Linked DNA regions of Nothobranchius furzeri. The protein of the gene in region 3 purifies or fractionates together with the protein of the main gene of each other region. This does not show direct contact. Links are inferred from orthologs where the notes say so. Each region holds a gene or a part of one and is shown on either strand. Other genes may lie near its edges.

What was found.
Region 1: the proteins of bud23 (region 3) and trmt112 purify together in Homo sapiens (affinity purification with mass spectrometry; 5 studies listed by BioGRID and IntAct, counting the BioPlex papers as one, with this or other methods). This does not show direct contact. The link is inferred for Nothobranchius furzeri from reciprocal best matches to the Homo sapiens genes BUD23 and TRMT112.
Region 2: the proteins of bud23 (region 3) and ube2o purify together in Homo sapiens (affinity purification with mass spectrometry; 5 studies listed by BioGRID and IntAct, counting the BioPlex papers as one, with this or other methods). This does not show direct contact. The link is inferred for Nothobranchius furzeri from reciprocal best matches to the Homo sapiens genes BUD23 and UBE2O.

The regions. Positions count from the first base shown.
Region 1 is NC_091741.1:88,070,356-88,074,110, forward strand, and holds the start of trmt112 (multifunctional methyltransferase subunit TRM112-like protein), read right to left. Parts: upstream 2,385-3,755; 5' UTR 2,257-2,384; coding exon 2,182-2,256; intron 1,818-2,181; coding exon 1,716-1,817; intron 1,596-1,715; coding exon 1,503-1,595; intron 1-1,502. UniProt on the Homo sapiens protein: Acts as an activator of both rRNA/tRNA and protein methyltransferases. Together with methyltransferase BUD23, methylates the N(7) position of a guanine in 18S rRNA.
Region 2 is NC_091747.1:74,395,208-74,398,862, forward strand, and holds part of ube2o ((E3-independent) E2 ubiquitin-conjugating enzyme), read right to left. Parts: coding exon 3,629-3,655; intron 3,560-3,628; coding exon 3,379-3,559; intron 3,277-3,378; coding exon 3,140-3,276; intron 2,082-3,139; coding exon 1,878-2,081; intron 1,805-1,877; coding exon 1,747-1,804; intron 1,118-1,746; coding exon 343-1,117; coding exon of another isoform or gene 339-342; exon of another isoform or gene 200-338; intron 47-199; coding exon 19-46; 3' UTR 1-18. UniProt on the Homo sapiens protein: E2/E3 hybrid ubiquitin-protein ligase that displays both E2 and E3 ligase activities and mediates monoubiquitination of target proteins. Negatively regulates TRAF6-mediated NF-kappa-B activation independently of its E2 activity.
Region 3 is NC_091753.1:42,315,672-42,319,401, reverse strand, and holds the start of bud23 (18S rRNA (guanine-N(7))-methyltransferase), read right to left. Parts: upstream 2,805-3,730; 5' UTR 2,694-2,804; coding exon 2,646-2,693; intron 2,513-2,645; coding exon 2,475-2,512; intron 2,073-2,474; coding exon 1,977-2,072; intron 1,768-1,976; coding exon 1,685-1,767; intron 1,093-1,684; coding exon 996-1,092; intron 915-995; coding exon 818-914; intron 735-817; coding exon 684-734; intron 607-683; coding exon 521-606; intron 378-520; coding exon 332-377; intron 256-331; coding exon 194-255; intron 1-193.

The DNA.
Region 1 (3,755 bases), on a different chromosome or scaffold from region 3:
GTTTACAGCTTCTTTCCTAACATAATGCAACCACATTAAAAGACTACAAGCAGGGATGTAAAAGTCTCCAGCAGGTTACACATTTAGAAAGTTTTTCCTGTCGAGCAGTGATCCCCAACTCCCTTTCCCGAGGGCCGGTATCCAGCATGTTTTAGTTGTTTCCCTAATCCAGAACATTTGATTCACCAATTCAGCAGCTCATCAGGCTCTGCAGAAACCCGTTAATCACCTGCTGATTAAAACCAGGTGTGTTGAAGCAGGGAAACAGTAAAACGTGCTGGACGCCGACCCTCGGGTAAGGGAGTTGGGGACAGCTGCTATAGAGTTTAATCTAGATACTAATATGTATTGCTTTTCGGTGCACGTTTGAGGGATGTTGGTTGGTTTGGGTCATTCTGATCCCTGAAAAAGACCAGGGGCCTCATTAATAAAGTTTGCCTACGGACAAAGCGGGGGTCTGAAAACTGCGTGTTTCCACAAAAACTTTGTGATTTATGAAGAAACACTTGATGGAAATATGTGACAACTTTAAGCAAACTTTGAACCAAGAGCATTTTAGAAATGGGGAAGCCATGGCAGCGGAAAAATGTTTAATTTAGGACACATTTACAGATTTGGAGATCAAAGCGGCTTTCCTCCAAGCCTCTACCAGGAATTGAAGCTTTTCAGCTTATAGCAGCAGGAGCAGGAGATGGGTGGGTATCGCCAGCACCTTAAAAAGACTCTGACCCTGAAACGGCTCATTCTGGAAGGTACTGAAACTGCCAAAATTAAAACTGCTGAAATTGCTTTATGTTAGAGGAATGTAGTGAAATGAACTTCATAAACATGCTTTGTATCAACTATTGAACTATTATAACTTAAGAAAAATATAAGTCCCCTTTAAGGCTAATTTTTGTGTTGCACTAATCTGTGTTAATGTGGTTTTACATGCCATCATCCTGTTGGTCATGTTAATGTGGTTTTACATGCCATCATCCTGTTGGTCACACAGGAAGTCATCTGTGAAACAATGGAACCACATTGTGGAAAACAAAGTGTTTACAACTTTGCAGTACAAGAGAAAACTTCTGCAGCCAAAACCTCTAAGAAAATCCCTCCAGTTATAACGCACCAAGATCATAATTAGAGTAAAAGTGTGTCTGTGTAATGTTTTGCAGAGGATATAGTTTAAAGTGAGCTAGAAAAGTATAAAACTTCTTCAGTCCCAACGGTAGACCTCCACATAACGCCATCCTGAGCCAAACGGATGCGCTGAAGTCATGGAATTCATTAGAGGATAAAAATGGAGCTCTGCTGAGATTTCTGCAGCCAGTAACACAAAAGCACCATTGAGTCCAAAATTAAGTGTGACTGAATACACACAACCAGACTCCAACAGTTTGTTTAAGAGTACTTTATGGCTGTATCGCTTTGTCAATACTAAAGAGAAAAACAGGTTCTGCAACTGAAATGTTTTTAAATGTGGGTGACAGGAACGAGGAGGTCAGTGAGACCTTTACCTCCAACAGAGCTCTGTGCACTTTCTTCAGGAAGTCCTCATTTTTCTCGTAGTCTGGCACCAGCTCACTCGGTAGATCTTGTCGATGACCCAACTATGAAGAGGAAGAAAACCAAATGTATGATAAATCTGTGTAGTATTAAATGTCTGCATGCATACAGCTGCAGGTGGAGGCTCTCCGTGGGTTAGCTTAAGGAGAAACCTGTTTACTCACCAGATCTGCAGCCTCGACCAGAGCACTCCACTCCAGTTTGGGGATCATCCTGCAGACAAACTGAGGGTTGAAGTCTACATCGTTCACCTTCACCTCGGTGGCCTGAACAAACAGCATTAGGAGAAAACACAGGCTGTCAGGTGGACTCTGCTGTCACATCAGGCAACCACTGACATCAACTCAACCGGCAATTGAAAGTAAACAAAACCCTTAATTTGCTTTAATTTCATGTAAAGTATGTCTTCACGTACTTTCTAGGATTTACGTGCAAGCTTATGCAGTCATGACACAAATTTACCTCCTGGATGTTTTAACAGAAAACATTTTAACTCAGTAATGTTTGTTTACACGAAGAAGAGATATCTACAAATGTATTTCATTGTTTTTAGAAGAAGACAGGCCTGGGTATCACGGTGAAACTCGTGTTAGCATTAGCCGCTATGCTACTCAGATGTTCACCGTTTACCTTTATGAGCAGCGGGTATCCTTTCGTGACTCCCTTTACGTGAGACGTCAGCATGTTGTGTGTGAGCAGCTTCATGATCGCAGATGTGTTTAATCAAGATTATATTAGAAACACTCAGAATAATAATGTATTATTTGCAGATAAATCACGCTGTACTGTTTTACATGTGGGCCGGAAGTACTGCTGAAGCACCACATAAAAGATCCCTGAAGACAACCCAATGTGCTGCTGTTGGTTCCTAGGTTGATCTACTACAAATGACACACTAGAAATCACATAGTAACTAAATATGAACTTAAACTATTGTACAATTTATGCCTTCGTATGTGTGAAGAAGTAGCCACTGTCAAAAGATTAGGTTTGAAGCATCTTAAAAGACCTTAGTAAATATAGCTCAAGAAAATGTTAATATTTTTGGTTTATTGGATGCCAAAGCTCTACAAGGATGACTTAAAATAATCCACATTTTTGTGTCGATCATCTTGTAATTATTACTAACTTAAAAGTTGATTAACTGTTTGGATGTGTAGATTGCACCAATAAGGATTTTTTGCAAGCTCCTTGAACCGTCACCTTATCGTGGTGGAGGAGTTTGTGCCCTAATGATCCTAGGAGCTATGTTGTCTGGGGCACTTTGTACCCCTCGTAGGGTCTCCCATGACAAATTGGTCTTAGGTGAAGGGTGAGACGAAGAACGGTTCAAAGGATCTTTCATGGATGAACCATCAAGGAGTCGGAGTACCCGGCCCGGAGGGTTACCGGGGTCCCACCCTGGAGCCAGGCCTGGGGTTGGGGCCATCGACATATATACTGGACAATTCATTTCCATAGACTCCAATAACACGTTTTTGAGGCTAAATGGGAGGTTGCCACCACCGCCATTTTGACCGTGTTACGGGTTCCGTCAAGCCCAGACAATTCCACAAAAGGGAAGAGAGGTGGAGCTGAGGGTGTGGCTGTAAGGCTGGGCTCAACTAACGACACTCGGTCGAACTAGCTACAAGCTAACCTGAAACTAACCCAAAGCTAACGTGGAGGTGGGTGCTAAGCTAACAGAGGTAGCAACCTAGCTACAACCGGAGTTAACTGTGCACAACACCAGAGCTTCTGAGTCAGAGATACGCTGATCTGACCGCTGGGTAAAACCGGGTGGAACACAGAGGTGTCCCGAAAGCTGCTGAAAGCTTTGAACCAGAGGTTCGGGGAGCTGTCAGGCTGAAGAAGGAGACCTACAGAACGTGGTTGGTCTGTGGGTCTCCAAGCCAAGCGGGGTGCAGCAGTGGCAGTTGCCGAGGCAAAATCTCGGGCGTGGGAGGAGTTTGGTGAGGCCATGGACAAAGACTATCGATCGGCTCCAAAGTGGTTCTGGCAAACTGTCAGGCGCCAGGGGGTTCACACTCCTCAGCCTCCCTGGAAAGGTCTACTCCAAGGTACTAGAGAGGAGGGTCCGATCGATAGTTGAATCTCAGATTCAGGAGGAGCAATGTGGTTTTCGTCCTAGCCGTGGAACTGTGGACCAGCTCTATACCCTTGCAAGGGTGATGGAGGGGGCATGGGAGTTTGCCCAACCAATC
Region 2 (3,655 bases), on a different chromosome or scaffold from region 3:
GGGGGGGGGGGACCTCTGTTATCCGTCACCCTCGTCTGAGTCATCACTGAAGGAGAGAAACAAACATTAGCAAAGCTTCCGAGCTGCTGTCCAGCGCTGATCGAGAGAGGAGTCAGAATGTTACGGAGGAGGGCAGCAGGAGCAGTAAAGGCGGAGACACGGAGGTGGAGGAAAGGTGTGGGCAGTGCTGGGGCACCGTGCAGCTCGGGGCGGGGTCCAGACTGGAACCCCACCCTGACTAGTGCTGATGGGTCCTCCTCTGTGACTTGAGGCGGGTGAAAAAGGTAGAAGAGAAGGAGGACAGGTCAGGGAGCAGTTAGAAGATGGTGAGGAGGCACTTACTTGTCCACCGTGTGCTCTGGGACGCCAGCGGCCGCCAGAGCGGCTTTGTACTGATGCAGCACGCCGCGGACGCTCTTCACAAACCCTTTGGAGAGCGGGAAGAGCGGGAAGCCGATGTCCGGGTACCCGCTGCCCTCCGGGAGGAAACTCCGGTAACTCTTCCTCCTTTTCTTTGGTCGAACCACTGGCTGGCTCCCCGAGGAGCCCGCCCCCCCCACGCTGGCGGACACGGAACCAGAATCTGACGTCCCAGTGCGGACCACAGAGCCAGCTTTGACCTCACCCCCCAGGGTGAGGTCACCGTCTGAGTTCTGGCTCAGCTCCTCCTGAGGAGCTGTAGTGGTGGACGGACTCAGCCCCGAATCCTCCAGCTCCTCCTCTAGAATACTGCTAACTCCCATCACCGCCTCATCACTGGGCTTACTGGGACTGCTGTGGGCCACAGCCACCAGTCCAGAGCCCGCAGGCTGCTGCTCGTCTTTCAAGTGGTGGCTCCTGGAAGAGGAGTAGGCCGAGTGGCCTCGCTCAGCGGCGTCGTGCAGCTCCAGCCACGCCTCCAGACGGTGCACGAGTCGCCAGCCGCTGGACACAAAGTGCTCCCGGATCTCCTGCTTGAAGACCTCCGCAGGATGCTGGAGGAGCTGCGTCATGGACTGGACCATCTTGATGAGAGCCATCTCGTTGTAGCAGCGACTGTTCTCATAGCCCTCCTGCAGACCCCGGTCGCTGTCGAAGCCGGCTTCGTTGTAGTACGGCTCGTTGACCAGGATCAGACCTGCAGAGGAACCGCCAGAACCACGGGCTCAGAAAAAACCCTAAAACACCTGGAGAACCAGGAAGTGCTGTGTGTGTGTGTGTGTGTGTGTGTGTGTGTGTGTGTGTGTGTGTGTGTGTGTGTGTGTGTGAGAGAGTGTGTGAGAGTGTGTGTGTGTGTGTGAGATAGAGAGAGAGAGAGAGTGAGAGAGTGTGTGAGCGTGAGAGAGAGTGTGTGTGTGAGAGTGAGTGAGTGAGTGAGTGTGACAGTGAAAGAGAGAGTGTGTGTGAGTGGGTGTATGTGTGTGAGAGAAAGAGAGAGAAAGAGAGAGAGAAAGAGAGAGAGAAAGAGAGGAAAAGAGAGAGAGAAAGAGAGAGAGAGAGAAAGAGAAAAGAGAGAGAGAGAAAGAAAGAGAGAGAGAGAGAAAGAAAGAGAGAAAAAGAGAGAGAGAAAGAGAGAAAAAGAGAGAGAGAGAAAGAGAGAGAGAGAGAAAGAGAAAAGAGAGAGAGAGAAAGAAAGAGAGAGAGAGAGAAAGAAAGAGAGAGAGAAAGAGAGAAAAAGAGAGAGAGAGAGAGAGAAAGAGAGAGAAAGAGAAAAGAGAGAAAGAGAGAGAGTGTGTGTGTGCGTGTGTGTGTGTGTGTGTGTCTAACCTTGTATGGAGATGAGGACTTGCAGCAGGCTGGACTTGCTGGTCCACCTCTCAGTCCCCTGTGGACGACAGAACCAGGGAGTTGAACTGGGTTGGGTCCAGTACTGGCTGGGACGGCCCAACAGCACTCACCTTTCCGATCCAGGTTCCCAGCAGGCTGACGCAGACTTTGCCGTTGTCGTACAGGTTGGGATTGAGGCGGCCGCTGCACTGGGACAGGTAGCGGAACAGCGGCGGCACGGCCGGGTAGATGTTGGGCAGCTGGATGTCGAAGAGGAAGAGTCCGTCCTCGTACGGGGTTCTGGTTGGTCCTTTGATCAGAGCTGAAAACAGGTCCTGTGTCACAGGAAGAGCAGAACTCACCCACTTGTTCTTTAGGGGTCAAAAGATGCCGGTGCTGGTGGATCACTGGTTACCCGAGTAGAATCACAAGTGTTTTCTCACACTCTTAACGCCGAGCGGAAGCAGAGCCGGTGCTGATCCAGAAACTATATTTGTGTCATCCTCCAGCTCTACATCTGTAGCTACGGCTGCACCGTCAGGCTGCTTCCTAATCTGGTCTATGAATGTGGTCCAGATGAACAGAAGGTTCTGCTGCATCCTGGTTCCGCCCAAACAACCTAACTGTGGCCAACTACTTTGTTGGTTTGATGAGTCTGAAGAAACAAGTGTGTTGTCATGGCAACACTTCTAAAGCAAACCAAAACAGATCTTTGGTGATTGGACAAAAAAACATCTACGTCATCAGGTGTGTGCATGCGTGTGCGTGTGTGTGTGTGTGTGTGTGCGAATGTGCGTGCGCGCGTGCGTGTGTGTGTGTGAATGTGCGTGCGTGCGTGTGTGTGTGCGTGTGTGCGTGCGTGCGTGTGCATGCGTGCACATGTGTGTGTGTGCATGCGTGCGTGCATGCGTGCGTGCGTGCGTGTGCATGTGTGTGCGTGTGTGTGCGTGCGTGCGGGTGTGTGAATGTGTGTGTGTGTGTGTGTGTGAGCGTGCGTGTGTGTGCGTGCGTGTGTGTGTGCGTGCGTGCGTGTGAGTGTGCGTGCGTGTGTGTGTGCGTGCGTGCGTGCGTGCGTGTGTGAATGTGCATGCGTGTGTGTGCGTGTGAATGTGTGTGTGTGTGCGTGTGTGTGCGAATGTGTGTGTGTGCGTGTGTGAATGTGCGTGCGTGCGTGTGCGTGAGTGAATGTGCGTGCGTGCGTGTGCGTGTGAATGTGTGTGTGTGTGCGTGTGTGTGTGAATGTGTGTGTGTGTGCGTGTGTGTGCGAATGTGTGTGTGTGTGCGTGAGTGAATGTGCGTGCGTGCGTGTGCGTGAGTGAATGTGCGTGCGTGCGTGTGCGTGAGTGAATGTGCGTGCGTGCGTGCGTGTCAGTACGGATCAGATAAAACCCACCATGCGGTCCTCGAAGGTCTTGACCATGATGCCGTCGGGCAGCGACGTTGCCAGCAGAGCCATCTCCTTCCTCACTGTGCTGAAAAACTTCTTGGCCTCTGCCGGCTGAAACTCCATTTTCTTAAAGGAGTGAGTGTCTGTTGGTGAGGAAACGGATGAAAGTGAACTTTACACAGCTGAGCTCTTGTTGATCTGTAGATTAACGGTTTCACACCCGTGTGAGGAACCCGTGACCTCACCTGGAGCCCACTCCAGCACCGAGAACACCTCCCCTTTGGCGCTGGTGAAGGTCACTCCAGGTTTCCCTCCACTCTGTTGGCACAGCACCGGCGTTTCGCTCAGGAACTCACTGGGCCACTCCTGGTTCCCCACCGGCGTCTGTGGCTCCTGCTGGGGTTTCTCCTCCGTGCTCCTCTCTGCCTGAGGAGACGCGGCGGGTCAAACCTCCTCTACTGACGAGGCGGATCATCACAGCAGCGGGACACCTACCTCTGTTCCTGCTCCGCCGCTCCCAGC
Region 3 (3,730 bases):
TAAAATAAAGTTATGTTTAATATCCTAACATTAATAGCAGCGATCCAAAATGAGCTAAATGTACTAAAAATCCCAAGAAGGAAAATAATTGATAAAACCATCAGAAAAACTGTATTAATTCATCATATCCAACCATGTAAACATTATTATTGTTATTATAATTAAGCTCTATGTGCCTGCTGAATAGCTTTACCTTTGTCCTGAATACTGAACCTGGTTTGGAACTGTTCTGCCTGACGTTTCTGACCCCAAACCCTGAAATGAACAAAAACACAAACATTTAAAACTACAATAAATAAAACAAACAAATCACAACTCATGTGCTTCTCACTTTAGGAAGAACTCCGGTCACTCCGGCAAACAGACACAAGAAAAACCTGGAAGAAAATGAGGGAATTATTATAATGAGCCATCCATTGTAAATCAATATGGCCGCCATCGTTTATTACAGCTGCTGCTAATTTCACAGACTATTAAGCCGAAATCGACCTGAGATCATTTCGGAATAAAAGTTTCTGACTTTTTAGCCTTGCTGCTGTTGGGATAATCCACCACCATCCCTCCGCTGAAACCTGCTCTCATGGCCTGAGCTGTGATCAGCTCCAGCTTCAGAGGAGAACGAAAACAAGACATCAGATTCAATCACACAAAGACAAAACGAGGAGAAAGGGAGAATGTTGCACCTGTTCGGAGTTTTCTGGATAAAGCTGAAAAACTGCACGGGACCCCCGTGCCTGAAAGAGAAAAAATATTTAAAAGAGTTGATTATAAAGTAAGAGTTATGGATTATTGTACGTGTGCACAGATAGAATCTCACCAGAGATGAGTAGAGAGTACTAAAGAATGTGTAGAGTCTCCTTGGAGGGCTGTGTGACCTTTTGTCTGCATTACAAAGCCACTGCAGTGCAGAAATACTGACAGGAAAGGGAAAGAATCTAACTTAATAATAAACAAATCCCAACTCCAGCAACACTATTTCAGACCTTGTTCTTCACCTGATGCAGCCGTCAAACGTTCCCGGTCGGAAAGGCATCCCATGGCCCATGTCTCCCAACAGGAGGTCTCCTTCCACTTCTCTGTCCAGAGCCACATCTGGTTAGAAAAAAATATCACATCGTCAGTGATTTACATAAAAACTGTAGGATTAAAGAGTTTTGTATAATATGCATAAAAAGTAAATTTCCTTTATATTTAGAAATAAACAGAAAACAGTGATTCATGTCATTAACGCCTGATTAAAGGTGTTGAATACATTTCTGCTTACGCTAGAAATAACCTGTACTTCTGTGTGTTCACAAGAGCAGAAAATAATTTTATGTACGGTTAAAAAAGTACATTTTATTTATTATACATATCTGGTGGTAAGGTTTCCTTCTTCTACATGGTCAACCTTTAATTAACTCCTGTGGTCAAATCAAAACTTTTAAAAAATATATCTGATACTATAATAAAAAATACAATTCCAGAAAATTATATAGCAAATATAAATATCAGTAAATGCACGGGACTAGAACAGTATTTCAGTATCTCAGTAACTTGAACTAAACAATTTGGTTTGTACACTAAGTTTGTTTTTGCATTAGTTGTTGAAATAAAGCTTTCAACGTATTTCTAGGTATTTTATTGACTTGAGATTTTATATTTTAGGCTGTTTTCCTTTCAGATACAAGATGGTTTAACCAACCCAGCATCGCAGTGCTGATGTCCATTCCCACCCAGTAGTGTCCCTCCTCTGACAGGTGGTCTCCACTCAAACCAGATCCACATCTGAGGGACAGAACAGACCTTCAATCCTGACATTCAGCAAATATAGAATATCGACTAAACAGACGCTAAAGTCAACTGGGCTTAACTGAAAAATGCATTTTTCAATGCAACAAAAACACAACAAACCTCTGAATGAACTAGAGCGAGATCATGGCTTTCTTTTAGTTCTAAATTTAGAGAGACAGAACAACTCAGCATCACCAGCTCACCCAACATCCAGCAGGAAGCAGGGCTGACCCTCCGGCAGGTTTAAGAGCTCCACAGCTCTCTCTGACATCTGGGACTGGATCTCAATCATCCGCGAGCTGAGAGTCAAGAAACACAATCAGATGTTTACACAAACCAAACCTCAGATCACTTATGGCAACTAATCACTAACACTGTGCTGAGTTGATGACAAAAATCCACATACTACATACGTTTAAAATGATTAAATATGTGTCATTATTCTTCTCCTGTGTTTCTCTCCATCCAAACTCACAAAATCACCAGCAGTTGTGATTTCAAAATTCGATAATAAACGTATTAGCTAATTAATCAATCCTCTAAGTGTCCTAAAAATGTTAAATAATGTCAGAATGTAGCTAAAGACAAGAGAACATGCACTAACATATGTAAAATAAGCAAATAATGATAAAATGTAAAGAACTCATCAAGTTTGACATTAAAACACAACAAATGTTACATTACCAAACATGCAGACTTACTTCTGAGAGTATTTCTTTGCCTCATCTTCATTGTAGAACTGCAATAACAACAATCAAATCAATAAGATTTTGAGTTTTGTGTTTTTTCAAACAAAACGAATCTACAGAAACACTGCAGACTTTAGAGATCAACTATTAGAGGTTTAATAAAGAGTTAGACGATAAACTGACCACATCCGGAGGAGCTGAGTGTTCCGGTCGTCGACAGCTGGAAGCCATTTTGCTTCTTTATGTGTAAAAGTAAATAAAACCTACAAATCAAAAGAAACGTGGAAGATGAACATCCCACATGTGAACTGTATCTACGGGTCACGTGATGTTCTTCTTCGTTGAGTTTGAGTATTTTTACTGAAGGTTTGCCACCATCTGCTGGTTGGCACGCAGACTGCATTTTCATATATTTATTTTCAGAAACAAAATTTCAAACATGTACAATGACCGCTTGTTATTTATATTCATAATAGCGGTAAGTAATTTTTGTTTATTGGTTTTTTATGAAAATAATAAATAAAACAACAACAATGTAATTATTACACACACATAAATGTAATAATAATAATTATAAATAATAGTTATTATGATGATGATGATGATTATGATGATGATGATTATTATTATTATTATTATTATTATTATTATTATTATTATTATTATTATTATTATTATTACTATTATTATTATTATTATTATGTGATTTATGTTCCACAGAAGTGCATTTCTGGTCTGATTGTTTTTATGATCACTGTGTCAACCGGCCTCCCCTTTTCATATGTACTTGGGTTAGTTCTTATCTGTATGCAGTGTTTAGCTGTATTAAATTTGTATTGCCTTTGTACTTAACATGAGCTCATGTGTAGTACTTTTCGATTTTTATTAGGATGCATCACTTTCTGTTTTGCTACTTGTACAGCATCACATTATTGTGTTCAGTGCTATGAGCTGCCTTGGTTGGCAGCGGGAAGGTGCTCTATGAATGAATGAATGAATAAATGAACGAACGAACGAACGAATGAATGAATTCGCGTAACCTCGGATATGGTAAATTAAAACTCAAAGTTACTGGACGTTTTTGCATTTTGCTGTGGATAATTAGAATAAAACAAGATATAAAATTCAAGATACTGGTCAAATCAGGAAAAATATAGGAATTTAATGCGTGCAGTGATTTATTGTTGCAATAATGACTAAAGTACAAGGTTGATCCATGCTTTCGTTCTTTCTTAAACACAGAAACAGTTTTGTTTACCTGTTTGTAG